Linked DNA regions of Macaca fascicularis. Each later gene encodes a partner of the first gene's protein in a complex. Links are inferred from orthologs where the notes say so. Each region holds a gene or a part of one and is shown on either strand. Other genes may lie near its edges.

Region 1 (6,224 bases):
ACTGGAACGCTTGTGCATTACTGGTAGCAATGTCAAATGGTGCTGCTTCTGTGGAAAACAGTATGGTGGATTCCTCAAAAAAGTTAAACATAGTATCACCATATGACCCTGCAGTTCCACTGCTAGTAATAAACTCAAAAGGGCTGAAAACAGGCACTCAAACAGGTACATGATATACCTATTCACAACAGCGCTATTCACTATAGCCAACAGGTGGAAACAGCCCAAATATCCATCACTGTATGAGTGGAGAAAAAAATTGTGCCTATCCATACAATGGAATATCATTCAGTCATAAAAAGGAATGAAGTACTGATACATGCTGCAACATAGATAAACCTTGAAAATATTATCCTAAGTAAAAGAAGCCATACACAAGAGGTCACTTATTGTACCATTTCTATAAACGATTAAGAACAGATAAATCCATACAGCCAGAATGCCAATTGCTGATTGCCAGGTGCTGTGGGAGGTAGAATGGGGAGAAACTACTTAACAGGAAAGGAGTTTTACTTTGCAGGTACAGAAATGTTCTGGAACTAGATAGAAGTGGTGAGTATACAACCATTGATTACACTTAGTACTGTAAATGTGCTAAATGCTCCTGAATTGTTCAATTTAAAATAGTTAATTTGGCTGGGCCCGGTGGCTCATGCCTGTAATCCCAGCACTTTGGGAGGCCGAGGTGGGTGGATCACCTGAGGTCAGGAGTTTGAGACCTGCCTGGCCAACATGGTGAAATCCCATCTCTACTAAAAATGCAAAAATTAGCCAGGCGTGCTGGCACATGGCTGTAATCCCAGCTACTCAGGAGGCTACGACAGGAGAATCGCTTGAACCTGGGAGACAGAGGTTGCAGAGAGCTGAGATGCACCACTGCACTCCAGCCTGGGTGACAAGAGTGAAACAGTATCTCAAAAAGCAAACAAACAAAAAAAAACAAAAAAACCCCAGTTAATTTTGTTATGTGAATTTCTCCTCAATAAGTTATTTAAACAAAGTAAGATAATAAGTGTTAATGAGAAAGTGGAGAAACTAAAATCTTTATTATACTGCCTGTGTAAGTGTAAAATGGTACAGTACTTTGGAAAACAGTCTGGCAATTCCCTAACTGGTTAAAACATAGTTAATGTATGACCCAGCAATCCATTACTAGGTATATACCGTAGAGAAATGAAAATATATGTCTATACAAAAACCCAAACACAAATGCTAATAGCAGTATTATGCATATAGCCAAAAGTAGAAACAACTAAAATATGTATTACCTAATAAATGGATAAAAATACTCTCATATAACTATATAATGGAATATTCTGTTTTAAAATTGTGGTGAGTATTGCACATATCTGTGAATATACTAAGACCCTTTTAGTTGTGCATTTTAAATAGATGAATTATAGAGCATGTAAATAGTACTTCAAGAAAGCGGTTAAAAAATGTTCTCAGTAATGAAGACCTATATTTGCCTTTACAGTTCCAAAATGGTACTCACCTTTGCCATCACATAAATGGCACACATTAATAATTGGTCCAGATGTCTGTCCATCATAAGTTCAGGACACTGAATTATGGAGAATTCAAAGCAGGTCCAGATTTTTTTCCTCAGTTCATCTGAAATATCTAGTTTGGCACAGAGATCCCGAAGGCGGACAGCTGCTAAATGGTATACCTAGGAGATAAACAAAAACATTTCAAACTGTGTTTAACACTTGTATTTCCCAAGCTCATGCTCTGGTAAGAGTACGTGAAAAATTACCTTTCTAAAGAAAAGTGATAAAGAGCTGGTTTTCCTGGGTCTATTACTACTGCTGGTTACAGACTGGCCTTGCTTCTGCTGTTGGCCACCTGGGGAAATCTGTTGAATGGCCACTTGACCAGGGACTTGCAAAGTTGTTCCTGTCATCTGTTGAGAGCTCAGACTTCCAGCCAGGGCCTGAGCACTGAGGGGCTGGATGGAGCCTGTCACAGCTTGTGCCTGCCCCCCAACATTGACTTGGACAGGGAAGAATGTTATCCCTCCATTTTCATTGGCAATACCTAGTTTGTGACAGAGAAAAAAGGCATGAAGAAAATGTTGATAATAAGAGGTTCTCCAGGCAGAGGTTTACAATTTCTCCTCTCCCAAACCCTCTCTCCCCATCACTCCTCTGTCCCCTACGTCACTCTAGCCAAACCTCGGGTAACTTTTCAATACACGCCACAGAGAAGGAACTCAATATCCAACTCTGCCTTCCTTACCTTGCACAGGAATGGTTACTGTTTGCCCATTGTTGGCTGTGACAGTGGCGGTTGCCATGGTGACCAAAGTCTGTCCAGGAACCGGTGTGACAGAAACAGGCTCCCCAGATACATTCTGCACAGGGACGGCATTGACTAGAGGCTGTGGGGGCATGCGCCCAGGTGTCCCTCCATCAGAGGGGCTATCATTCTCAACAAATAGCCGCCTTCTGGTAGTGCTGGCTGGTGGGGAGCTGTATCTATCGTATAATGTGGTTGGAGATGTTATGCCTAGGTTCAAAACAAATCAAACAAAGCATTTCACTGAAGGAGACTCAGATCTGACTTTCATCCAAGCTGTTATGTTCAAAAATAACTACAGTGTTTGAAATACTTCATAATTCAAAAAGCAAACAAGAATTACACAAGTCATCTTACCTATATCCATTAGTGAGTTTTCATTAGTGTTCAGTGAACACAACTGAGAGCAAATTTTAAAATGGAATTTTTTGTCTTGCAGTGTTCCTTTCTCCACTCCCCCTTTCCCAAATCAGACCTGACTCTGTCTTCCACTACTGAAGAACCTTCATGATTTAAGGAATTACCCTTTTTTTCTGTACTACATTTTTCTATAATATTTTCTGCCATATTTAGTTTCCACCTACCACTCATGTAAGATGTGATTTTACTATACAGCCACTACTTCTTAAGGGGACATGATTGGTAGTATGTCATCTAGGAGCATTCCGCCACCAGTTTTACCAATTTTGATCTTTGTCTTTTTCCACATATAAAAATTATTAAAACTCAATAATGTTCTTAAGCAAGGTAGACATGCATGATTTGGATTCAATTAAGCATAATTTATTTTTTTAAAACAGTTTATATACCATAAATTTCATCCACTTAAATTGTACAATTCAATGGTTTGGGGTAAACTGCTATGTTTTTTTATTTTTTGAGACATAGACTCTTACTCTATCACCCCGGCTGGAGTGCAGTGGCCTGATCTTGGCTCAATACAACCTCTGCCTCCTGGGTTAAAGTGATTCTTGTGCCTCAGCCTCCTGAGTAACTGGGATTAGAGGCATATGCCACCAGGCATGGCTAATTTTTGTATTTTTAGTAGAGATGGGGTTTCACCATGTTGGCCAGGCTGTTCTCAAACTCCTGACCTCAGGTGATCCACCCGCCTTGGCCTCCCAAAGTGCTGGTATTACAGGCTAGTTTTTTAAAATTGTGGGTTTAAAAAATATATATATAAATATGTATATTTTTATATATAAATATATATATTTGTATATATATTTATAAATATATTTGTATATATATTTATATATATTTATAAATATATATACGTATATATATTTATATATATTTATAAATATATATATGTATATATATTTATATATATTTATAAATATATATACGTATATATATTTATATAACAAAATTTACCATTTCATCCATTTTTAAGTATACGATTCAGTGGTACGATTAAGTGTATGATTCAGTGGTATCAATTACATTTACAATGTGGCCACAACAATCACCACTGTTTGTAAAACTTCTTCATTATCTGAACAACCTATTAAGGCTTAGTCTATTTTTAAGTATTCACAATAATGTATGAATTTTTGAGAAGCATTTCTTCCTTCTTCTGTGTCCACCTCTAAGAGCTGTGCATCAGTGTGTTTTTAAATTTTAAAACATATGTAGGAAGTTTGTAAGAAGTATTGATAGGAGTAAATACTAATAAATTGTGGCTTAACATTTCAATTTCCAGATGATAACAAAAGTAAATAAACTTACTAGATTTGTATTTGATACAACGCTGCAGAATCAGAAAGAATACATTATGATCATTTTTTCTTGTAAAATATCAAGAGATCTCAGGAAAACTGAGAAGTGATAAGTACAAAGAAAATGAAGTTTAAAGTCAAGTCTTCCTAATCTGTAGATTAGGGAAGGGAAAATTCTACAAAAATAGACTAAGAAAGACCAACTGTCAGATCTTTCAAAAATAAGGACTTTTCATAAGGATCATCCATGTCTATTAAGTATACACTGACCTAGAGTGATTTTTGTTTTTTTTGGGGGGGGGTAGAGATGGCATCTTGCTATGTTGCCCAGGATGGTCTTGAACTGCTGGGCTCAAGCGATCCTCCCGACTAGGTGTCCCACAGTGCAGCGGTTACAGGCATGAGCCACCATGCCCAGCCTAGAGTGATTCCTGACTTTAAAACTCGTATTTCTTCTGTAGCCAGTTCTTACCATTTACATTATAAAAGTGATCTAGAAATAAGGATATTCTTTGAATTGGATCCGAGGATTTAGAACTCTCTGGATTTACTGAATTGCTCTTTAAAAAGCAGTTCTCTCTCACATATGTAAACTAAAACCTTTCACCTTGCAGATCTTCTAAGCAGCTGCCTAAAAAATATAAACCAGATGGATAGCAAAACTGCCCTTTTCTGTATTTCTTGGGCCAGCAGTAATGTCATTAACTAGGGTAGCACAGCTCAACACAGTAGAACACACTCAGTTGTCTTAACTCACTGCCTTGTCTATACCTAACTGGATCATGCAGCTCTATCTTTAAGAAGGCTTTTCTATTTCTCCTGATTTTAAAAGTAATACGTATTTGCCTTAAAAATTTTACAGAAATCACCAGGAATTCTATCACCCAACAATGATCTTAACAGTTTGGTTTTTCCATTTCCACCATTTTGCATGCTCATAAATAAACATACACTTTAAAAATAGGGATCATATTAAATATATAGCAGTCGGCCAGGCACAGTGCCTCATGCCTGTAATTCTAGCACTTTGGGAGGCCGAGGCAGGCGGATTGCTTCAAGTCAGGAGTTCGAGGCCAGCCTGGCCAATATGGCAAAACGTCTCTACAAAAATACAAAAAATTAGCTAGGCGTGGTGGCGCATGCCTGTAGTCCCATCTACTCAGGAGGGTGAGGCATGAGAATTGCTTGAACCCGGCAGGCAGAGGTTGCAGTGAGCTGAGATTGGGCTGCTGCACTCTAGCTTGAGCGACAGAGCGAGACTCTGTCTCAAAAGAAAAAAAAAAATTAAATAAATATAGCAGTCTATCGTCTATCCTTTTAAAAGATACCTGTTATATCATGCATTTTCCTGTGTTCTTAAATAGTCTTTAAAGGCCCTTCTTTTAAGTGATTCATGTGACACAAAAATGCATGGAATATTTTCTTCTAATATATACCCTATTAACTTCACTTATAGGGTTAAATAAAATTTAAATTTCCAGATAGTAAGCCCCAAAATATTCCCCTAGTATTTTAAACTTACTCCTTCCAAGACCTCCAGTATCAGCACGAACTTCAGTCACCCTTCTGGGAGTCAAAGGGGAGCCCGCAATGCAAATTTCATCTGCCCTTTCCAGGTTCTGAGGTGGCATGACCTGTGAAGAATTGGTTACACAGAATGCCAGGATCCAAAACAGCACTTTAATTAGAAATCCAATAGTAATCTAAGGCGGAAAAAGTCTCTTAACGATTATTCCATCTAAATAAAATCAGCTGTCTTTCCCATTTTCATAATAAAGTTAAAAAAAAAAAAACTTGTCAGTCAAAAAATGCAAAACCTTGTAATTGGATACTAAATATGAGTCAACCTTCATTACTGGTTTGGAGAGTTTGAATATCAACCACTCTAAAGCAGGGGTCCCCAACCCCTGGGCCGTGGACCCTGTTAGGAACCGGGCAACATAGCAGGAAGTGAGCGGCAGGCAAGTAAGCAAGCGAGCAAAGCTTCATCTGTATTTATAGCTGCTCCCCATCACTCACATTGCTACCTGTGCTGGCCGCCTGTCAGATTAGTGGTGGCATTAGATTCTCATAGGAGTGTGAACCCTATTGTGAACTGCACACATAAGGGATCTAGGTTGCATGCTCCTTATGAGAATCTAATGCCTGCTCATCTGTCACTGTCTCCCACCACCTCCAGATGGGACCATCTAGTTGCAGGAA
Region 2 (6,891 bases), on another chromosome or scaffold:
ACACCTTGTCTCAAAAAAAAAAAAAAAAAAAAAAAATTCCCACTTAAACCTAATTATCTTCAAAACCATATTCCCCCAATCTTCTCCCATCTCAAGAAATAGCACTACCATAAACCCTACTTCTCAAATCGAAAACCCAGATGTCATCCTTCATGCATTCTTTTCCTTCACCCTTCCATAACCAATCCATGAGTAAATCTAGTCATTTCTACCTTCAAAATACATCCTGAAATCGAATAACCCGAGGAACCACCACTTCCCTCTTGGACTACTTCAACAGCCTCTTAACAGATCTCTCTGCTCCCATTCTTACCCTTTCCCCTTCACGTCCCCAAATCTATTCTCTATAAAGAGGCCAGAAATGATTTTTTAAAATGTCAATCAGTTCGTGTCACTCTGCAGCTTAAAGTTCCTCCCAGTTAAATCTGTGAATGTGTATCTACCATATTCTATAAAATCTTACTCAGCCTCTGCCTAATTCTTTGACATCATTTCTCTTCCACTCTTCCCTTGCACAGAGTAGTACTCAATATTAACATTCGTTGAGTTTTTATTGTATGCTCAGTATGCTAACCAGTTGCATAACTAGTTCATTTAATGCTATAAACAGCGGTTCTTAACATTTTCTGGGTAAGCCACATCTTTGGAAATCTGGGAAAAAAAATGAACTCACTCCCCAGAAAATACACATATGTACAAAATTTTTCAACATGTACTTTTCTCTAAACTGAATTTGTTTTGCCAAATATCCCAAAGGAATTTCCAATGGCATTTTAATTGTAAAGAACTCAACTAATACACTGCCTTAACTAAAGCATTAAAAATTAGCTTCTCTTTGTTACCAATTTCTGAGGAATGTTCAACCATAACAAAAATAAAGTTATTGGGCCAGGTGCGGTGGCTCGTGTCTGGAATCCCAGTGCTTTGGGAAGCTGAGGCAGGAAGACTGTCTGAGCCCAGGAGTTTGAGACCAGCCTGGGCAACATAGTGAGACTTTATCTCTACAAAAAATAATAAGGCAGGGCACGGTGGCTCACGTCTGTAATCTTAGCACTTTGGGAGGCTGAGGTGAGTGGATCACCTGAGGTCAAGAGTTTGAGACCAGCCTGGGCAATATGGTGAAACCCTGTCTCTACTAAAAATACAAAAATTAGCCAGGTGTGGTGGTGTGTGCCTGTTATCCCAGCTACTGGAGAGGCTGAGGCATGAGAATTACTTGAACCCAGGAGGCAGGGATTGCAGTGACCCGAGATCGTGCCATGGCACTCCAGCCTGGGTGACAGAGTGAGACTCCGTCTCAAAACAAAATAAATAATAATAACAATAAATTAGCTGGGCATGGTGGTGTGAGCCTATAGTACCAGCTACTTGGGAGGTTGAGACGGGAGGATAGCTTGAGCCTTTGAGGGTGCAGTGAGCTATAATCATACCACTGCATTTCAGCATGGGCAATAGAGTGAGAGAGACCCTGTCTCTAAAAGAAAATTTTTAAAAAAATTATTGGGGGTACAATCTAATAACCTACACGGGTGACCTTATGATACCACAGTCTGGGATAGAACTCAGACTCTGCTGTGAGTCTTACTCTCATAAATTAAGTAATTAGATGGCTGTATTTGAATTTCAGTTTTCTCCTTTTCAAAGAAGCTCCAGCAAATTTATCACGAAAAAGACAAAAGAGTAAATGACAAACATTTTCAAGTCAATGTTATCTGAATTAAATTTTAAAGACAGTGACAGGTGGAACACTAAAAATAGAAGTGAGAGAGCTAGGCCATGGAATATTTTGGAATGAGATACTTACTGAGACGTTGAATTTAAGTTCAAAGTGCTTGACTTGATTTTTTCAGATTAAAAGAAAACATTAGGTGGAGAGGAGTAAAACTTTGTAAGAGATGAGAATGAAGACTTTTAAAAATCAAGAGTGCAAATAAAGTGACCATAGGGATGGCTAGAAGACCAAAGGAAAAAAATTTAACATTTTTAATACTCTTCCTGGCCAAAGAAAGGAAACTAAATTGAGAGAAGGCAAGGAAAAAAAAAACCAAACTCAAGGAACACATCTCTAAAATCCCCAAAATTTGTAAAAACAATTTTAAAATAAACTAAAAAATTTAATAACAATTACCTCTATTTCTATCACTTGGCTTTTTAAAAAAATTGTGGTGAAATATACATAAATTTTACCATTTTAATAACTTTTAAGTATAGAGTTCAGTGGTATTAAGTACATTAATTGTGCAATCATCACATTCATTTCCAGAACATTTTCACCTTCCCAAACTGAAATTTGGTACCCATTAACAATAACTCCCTATTCCCTTTTTAAATGCCTTTCTTTCTGGCGAGAGAAGGACATTTTTGCAAGAGAGCACCCAGGAAGGAGAATCTCTTTTGACTCCAAACATCCAAATTTCTTGTTTTTCCTTCTTTTTTTTTTGAGACGGGGTCTCGCTTTGTCACTCAGACTGGAGTGCAGTGACATGAACATGGTTCACTGCAGCCTCCACCCCCAGGCTCAAGTGATTCTCTTGCCTTAGCCCCCCAAGTAGCTGGGACTACAGGTGCACGGCACCACACCCAGATAATTTTTGTATTTTTTTGTAGAGATGGGGTTTCACCATGTTGTCTAGGCTCGTCTTCAACTCCTGAGCTCAGGCAATCTGCCTGCCTCAGCCTCCCAAAGTGCTGGGATTAGAAGTGTGAACCACCACGCCCGGCCATAATTTCTAACACAGTATGTACCTGTGCTCACAAAATTTAAGACTCGGTTAAACGTAAAACTTAAGATCAAGTAATATATTATTTCTGCACATATCTAATCAATCTTTCAATACATGTTAATTAAAGACCTACTGTTCGTCAGGCACTGTGCTAAACCTGGGATCCAGCTATGAACAAGACAAACTTGTAATTTATAATCTAGCGTACAAGGGGCAAAGTTAACATAGTAACTATGCTGACAAGGAAGATACTGAGGCAATGAATAATGGTGGGGAAGGGCAACTCCAGATACTGTGTTCTAAGAAAGACTCTTTGGGAGGTGACATCTAAAAAGAGAACTGAAACTGGAAAAAAAAAAAAAAAAAAAAGTGTGTATGTTTGAGTCATCTTTTGGTCTCCCAAAGCACCTAGCATTATGCCTTTCATGTAGTAGGTACTCAATACAGCTCACCTTGGCTTCAATTTCTTCATTCCTGCAATGAACTTCCAAGATTCCTTCCAAATACAAAATCTGTTTGTCTAAGGGAGGGAAACCTATATATCAATAAAATCGATATATAGTTGGGATGCGGATGGTAGAACTAAAAATGAGTTTAAAAATGACTGCAAGACCCTCTCTAAAGCAGAACCAAAAGCAAAAGCATGGGAGTATACCAAAACAACTTGTTACTTGAGATGACTTGCATTTTACACAACATATAAACAGAAATCGTTCATTCACTCAGCCTTAAGAAACAACACGTAAAGCAGATGAAAGAGCGGTTGCGACCTGTGCAAGACAACACTTAAAAGCTCAATACTCATTCTCCTCGCGACTCTCTCGGCGAGGGGCCGAGAACGTCCCCCGCTTCTCTTGCTGCCACGGCAATGGTCCCAAACTGAGGAGACAGGAGAGAGATCATGTTTCTCTTGCGGTTCACTATCGAGATGGGGTCAGCCAGCAGCCCCTGCGAGGGTTTGAGAATCGTTCCATCTGTGCGCTCAATCAGAAGAGAACTGATCCTTTCAATGGGATACCCCAAGGAGAAAACTACAGTAAGGCACGTCCTCCAGTAACATCTCCTCCTCTACCCTCAGCCTCGCCCAAATAGAGATAAGGAAGGGCCAGGGCGACCCCTGTCCTTTTACCCAGAATGAGTCCCTCCCTAGTGCCCTCCTCCACACGCCTGGTACAGAGCAGGGAAACTGGGCACCTCTGAAGCTGCTGCGAAGAACCGGTGAGCTGAAGACGGCGATGGATCGCAAGAAAAAAAACAAAAGGGAAATGAGAAGAGCCCAAGAAAGAAATGTATGTTCGAGGGGCAGAGACAGAGTGGATGTTCCCCATACAGCAAAGAAGGAGGCTGCAGGCAAACATCCCTAAGCCGGCTCTTACCGTCTGTGGGAGACGCCATCTTCCAACCCATGTCACGTGACGTGGCCAACCGTCGGCGGGAAAACGAGGATCCATAAGCCACGCCCCCAAAGAGAAACCCTATCCCCAACTCGCAGCCACGTCTCATTCCCTCGCCTCATAGGGCAATCTTCGCCCAGCCCCTCCCCTCATCATAGCCACGCCCCTTATGCAGTTGTTGAGGTGGAGCGACAGCAAAATTCTTGGAGGGTCTTATTTACTTTGCTCAGTGAAGGGGTGGGGCCTCGGTTGCGTCCTTGGCCAATCGGAGTTCCAGGTTAGGGGGGCGTCTCCTCCGTGTGCTCAGTATGGAGTGTCCAAGTCGGGGGCGTCTTCTCTACCTCCGCCAACGGCATTGGCTGAGGTAGGAGAGGGTGCGAGCATTTTCGCTCCTGACCAATCACTTATCCCCAGGACTGGGGTGTGAGAGGAGGAATCAGGTGTTAGGACGAGTGATTGGCTGAAGAAAATAGTCCTCCCCACCAATGAGGAAGCCCGGCAGGATGGAGGGCGAGGCCTGGCAGCTGTAGTGCGTCTGAGCTGTAGAGGAGCGGGTTGCGGAGCTAGGGCGGCCGAGAGCCATGGCGGCGGTAGTGGCGGCGGCGGCGGCGGTAGTGCGAGCCAGGATCCTGCAGGCGAGTGAGGGTGGCGCCAAGGCACCATGAAGCTAGGAATTGGATCCTTTCCGTCCACTCCCTGAGCCGTCCTCGGGCGGGACCACCTTCTTGGCCCAACCCCTTTTTGGCCGGACCTCCTACCTAACCTGTGGGCCCTGTCCCATGCCCAGCCCTCACTTCATACCCTCCCTCGTCCCGGATCCAACCCTGGGCTGTTACCCTTGGCCCTCTACCCTTTTACTCCTAAGCCTCCTCTTTTCTGGCTCTCGCCCACTCTCCTTCTCCAGCTCTGCCCGCTCCCTGCTGTCAGTCTCTTGCCCTCATCTCTCCATCCGCCCACCGTCTTTCCCTTTCACCTCTGCACCAGCGTTCTCTCTATCCCCCAGAAACTACTCTTTTTGGTTATTCTGTCCCCTGCCTTGAGTGTCCACGTTGCCATTGCTCCCTTCCCCCACCCTACTTCACTGTCCGTGGTGATCCGAGGTAAGAGGGAGGGGGAACGTGAGGGGCGAGGGTCAGTGTATGAACTTTGAATTTTCTTCTAGAAGTGGACTCTAGATTTTCACCAAAGGCAGCCATTTACCGAATTATTTTCCCTAAGTGTGGCTCTTTGTATTTTCCATAGACTGGCTGTCCCCTTTCTTGCCAAAACTTTCAGTGAAACTTTCAGCCAAGTTAAACAGTTTACATAGATAGGGCACATGTACATAGGGTAGATAAGGGCACACAGTTAACGCTACCAGTATGTTCCATGTACGTTCAAGGTACTAAACATTTTCAAAACAGGTGATAGAAAGTGGGAGCCAGGTAAGACAAGAAGTCTAAGTTCCCACCCCAAATCAGCTCTTCTAGTGCCACACACCCTCATCTCTGCACTTGGGGGATTGAGTCCTTTCTGAAGCCAACCTAAGGAGAAATGGTAAAGCTACAGGAGTTGCATGCCTGAGGCCTGTAATCTCCAACTCTATAGTCTTTCCCCTGTTCATGGCCTACCAAGGATTTAGAGTATGAGGCAAGATTTACTGCAGGCAAGAAACAATCAGCAAGAAACAACAGTGCCCTTCTTATTCATTACATCCAGTCTGAGAATTTCCTCTGTATTGCTGCGCTTTTAGGTAATATTAGTATTCACCAGGTTTCCGTGAGTTCTAGTACAGAAACTTGGGCATTTTCAAGATTCTTGGCAGAGTCAGCAAAGATTCACGTTTAAATATGCTATTTAATGGGGACGGTAGAAAGGATGAGTTTGAAGGGTTTGTCAGATGGTCTGGCCTCACTCATATTTCTTGCTGTGATCCTTGTTCTGTTCTAGTATCTTTTTTTAGTAGCAGGAAAACAAAGTTTCCACCCTATATTTTTCTTACCAACTTCTTGAAATCTTTTACTGAAATTGGTTTTTTTCCTTTGCCTCCTCTTCCCCTCCCATCACAATGAGTCATTGAGAACCTTAAGAAAGTATTTTGTTCTTTTCCATCAAGGAGAAGAATCTCTCTTTCCTTGTACTTTATTTCAGAAACAGACACTATGTATTTTCTGATTCATTTGGAGAAACTTCTGAAGTGACCTAGAAAAGAACAAATAGAGTAATCCTCAGCCAACTAGGAGTTGTAACATGAAACTTTGATTAAAAGTTTGATAAAAAGTAGCCTAGAGGCCAGGCACTGTAGCTCCTGCCTGTAATCCCAGCACTTTGGGAGGCCAAGGTGGGTGGATCACCTGAGGTCAGGAGTTGGAGACCAGCCAGACCAACATGGTAAAACCCCTTCTCTACTAAAAATACAAAAATTAGCCGGGTGTCAGGCGACTGTAATCCCAGCTACTCAGGAAGTTGAGGCAGGAGAATCACTTGAACCCGGGAGGCAGAGATTGCAGTGAGCTGAGATTGTGCCATTGCACTATATCCTGGGTGACAGAGCAAGACTCCGTCTTAAAAAAAAAACAAAACAAAAAAAAAAAACCCTCGATTTTGGCAGCCATGAATATTAGAGAACTATCAAAAGGATTTATAGAGAGTTCACGTTTTCAATTATTTTAAGTATTCAGCTTATTTTTCTCTGCTATGAAGAGTAGTCAAACTTAACCTAAAACCTCTTTCTGCTCCTTGTGATATTATCACTCCCATTCAGAGATAAAGGAATGTTTGAGACAGGGTCTCGC

The links.
Region 2: RBL2 (region 1) and LIN52 share a complex: the UniProt entries of both Homo sapiens proteins name them as parts of the DREAM complex. The link is inferred for Macaca fascicularis from reciprocal best matches to the Homo sapiens genes RBL2 and LIN52.

The regions. Positions count from the first base shown.
Region 1 is NC_088394.1:49,456,423-49,462,646, reverse strand, and holds part of RBL2 (retinoblastoma-like protein 2), read right to left. Parts: intron 5,657-6,224; coding exon 5,545-5,656; intron 2,512-5,544; coding exon 2,242-2,511; intron 2,041-2,241; coding exon 1,760-2,040; intron 1,673-1,759; coding exon 1,496-1,672; intron 1-1,495. UniProt on the Homo sapiens protein: Key regulator of entry into cell division. Directly involved in heterochromatin formation by maintaining overall chromatin structure and, in particular, that of constitutive heterochromatin by stabilizing histone methylation.
Region 2 is NC_088381.1:142,021,222-142,028,112, reverse strand, and holds the start of LIN52 (protein lin-52 homolog), read right to left. Parts: upstream 4,138-6,891; 5' UTR 4,131-4,137; coding exon 4,100-4,130; intron 1-4,099. Other genes in the region: ALDH6A1 (methylmalonate-semialdehyde/malonate-semialdehyde dehydrogenase [acylating], mitochondrial), read left to right, coding at 4,699-4,752.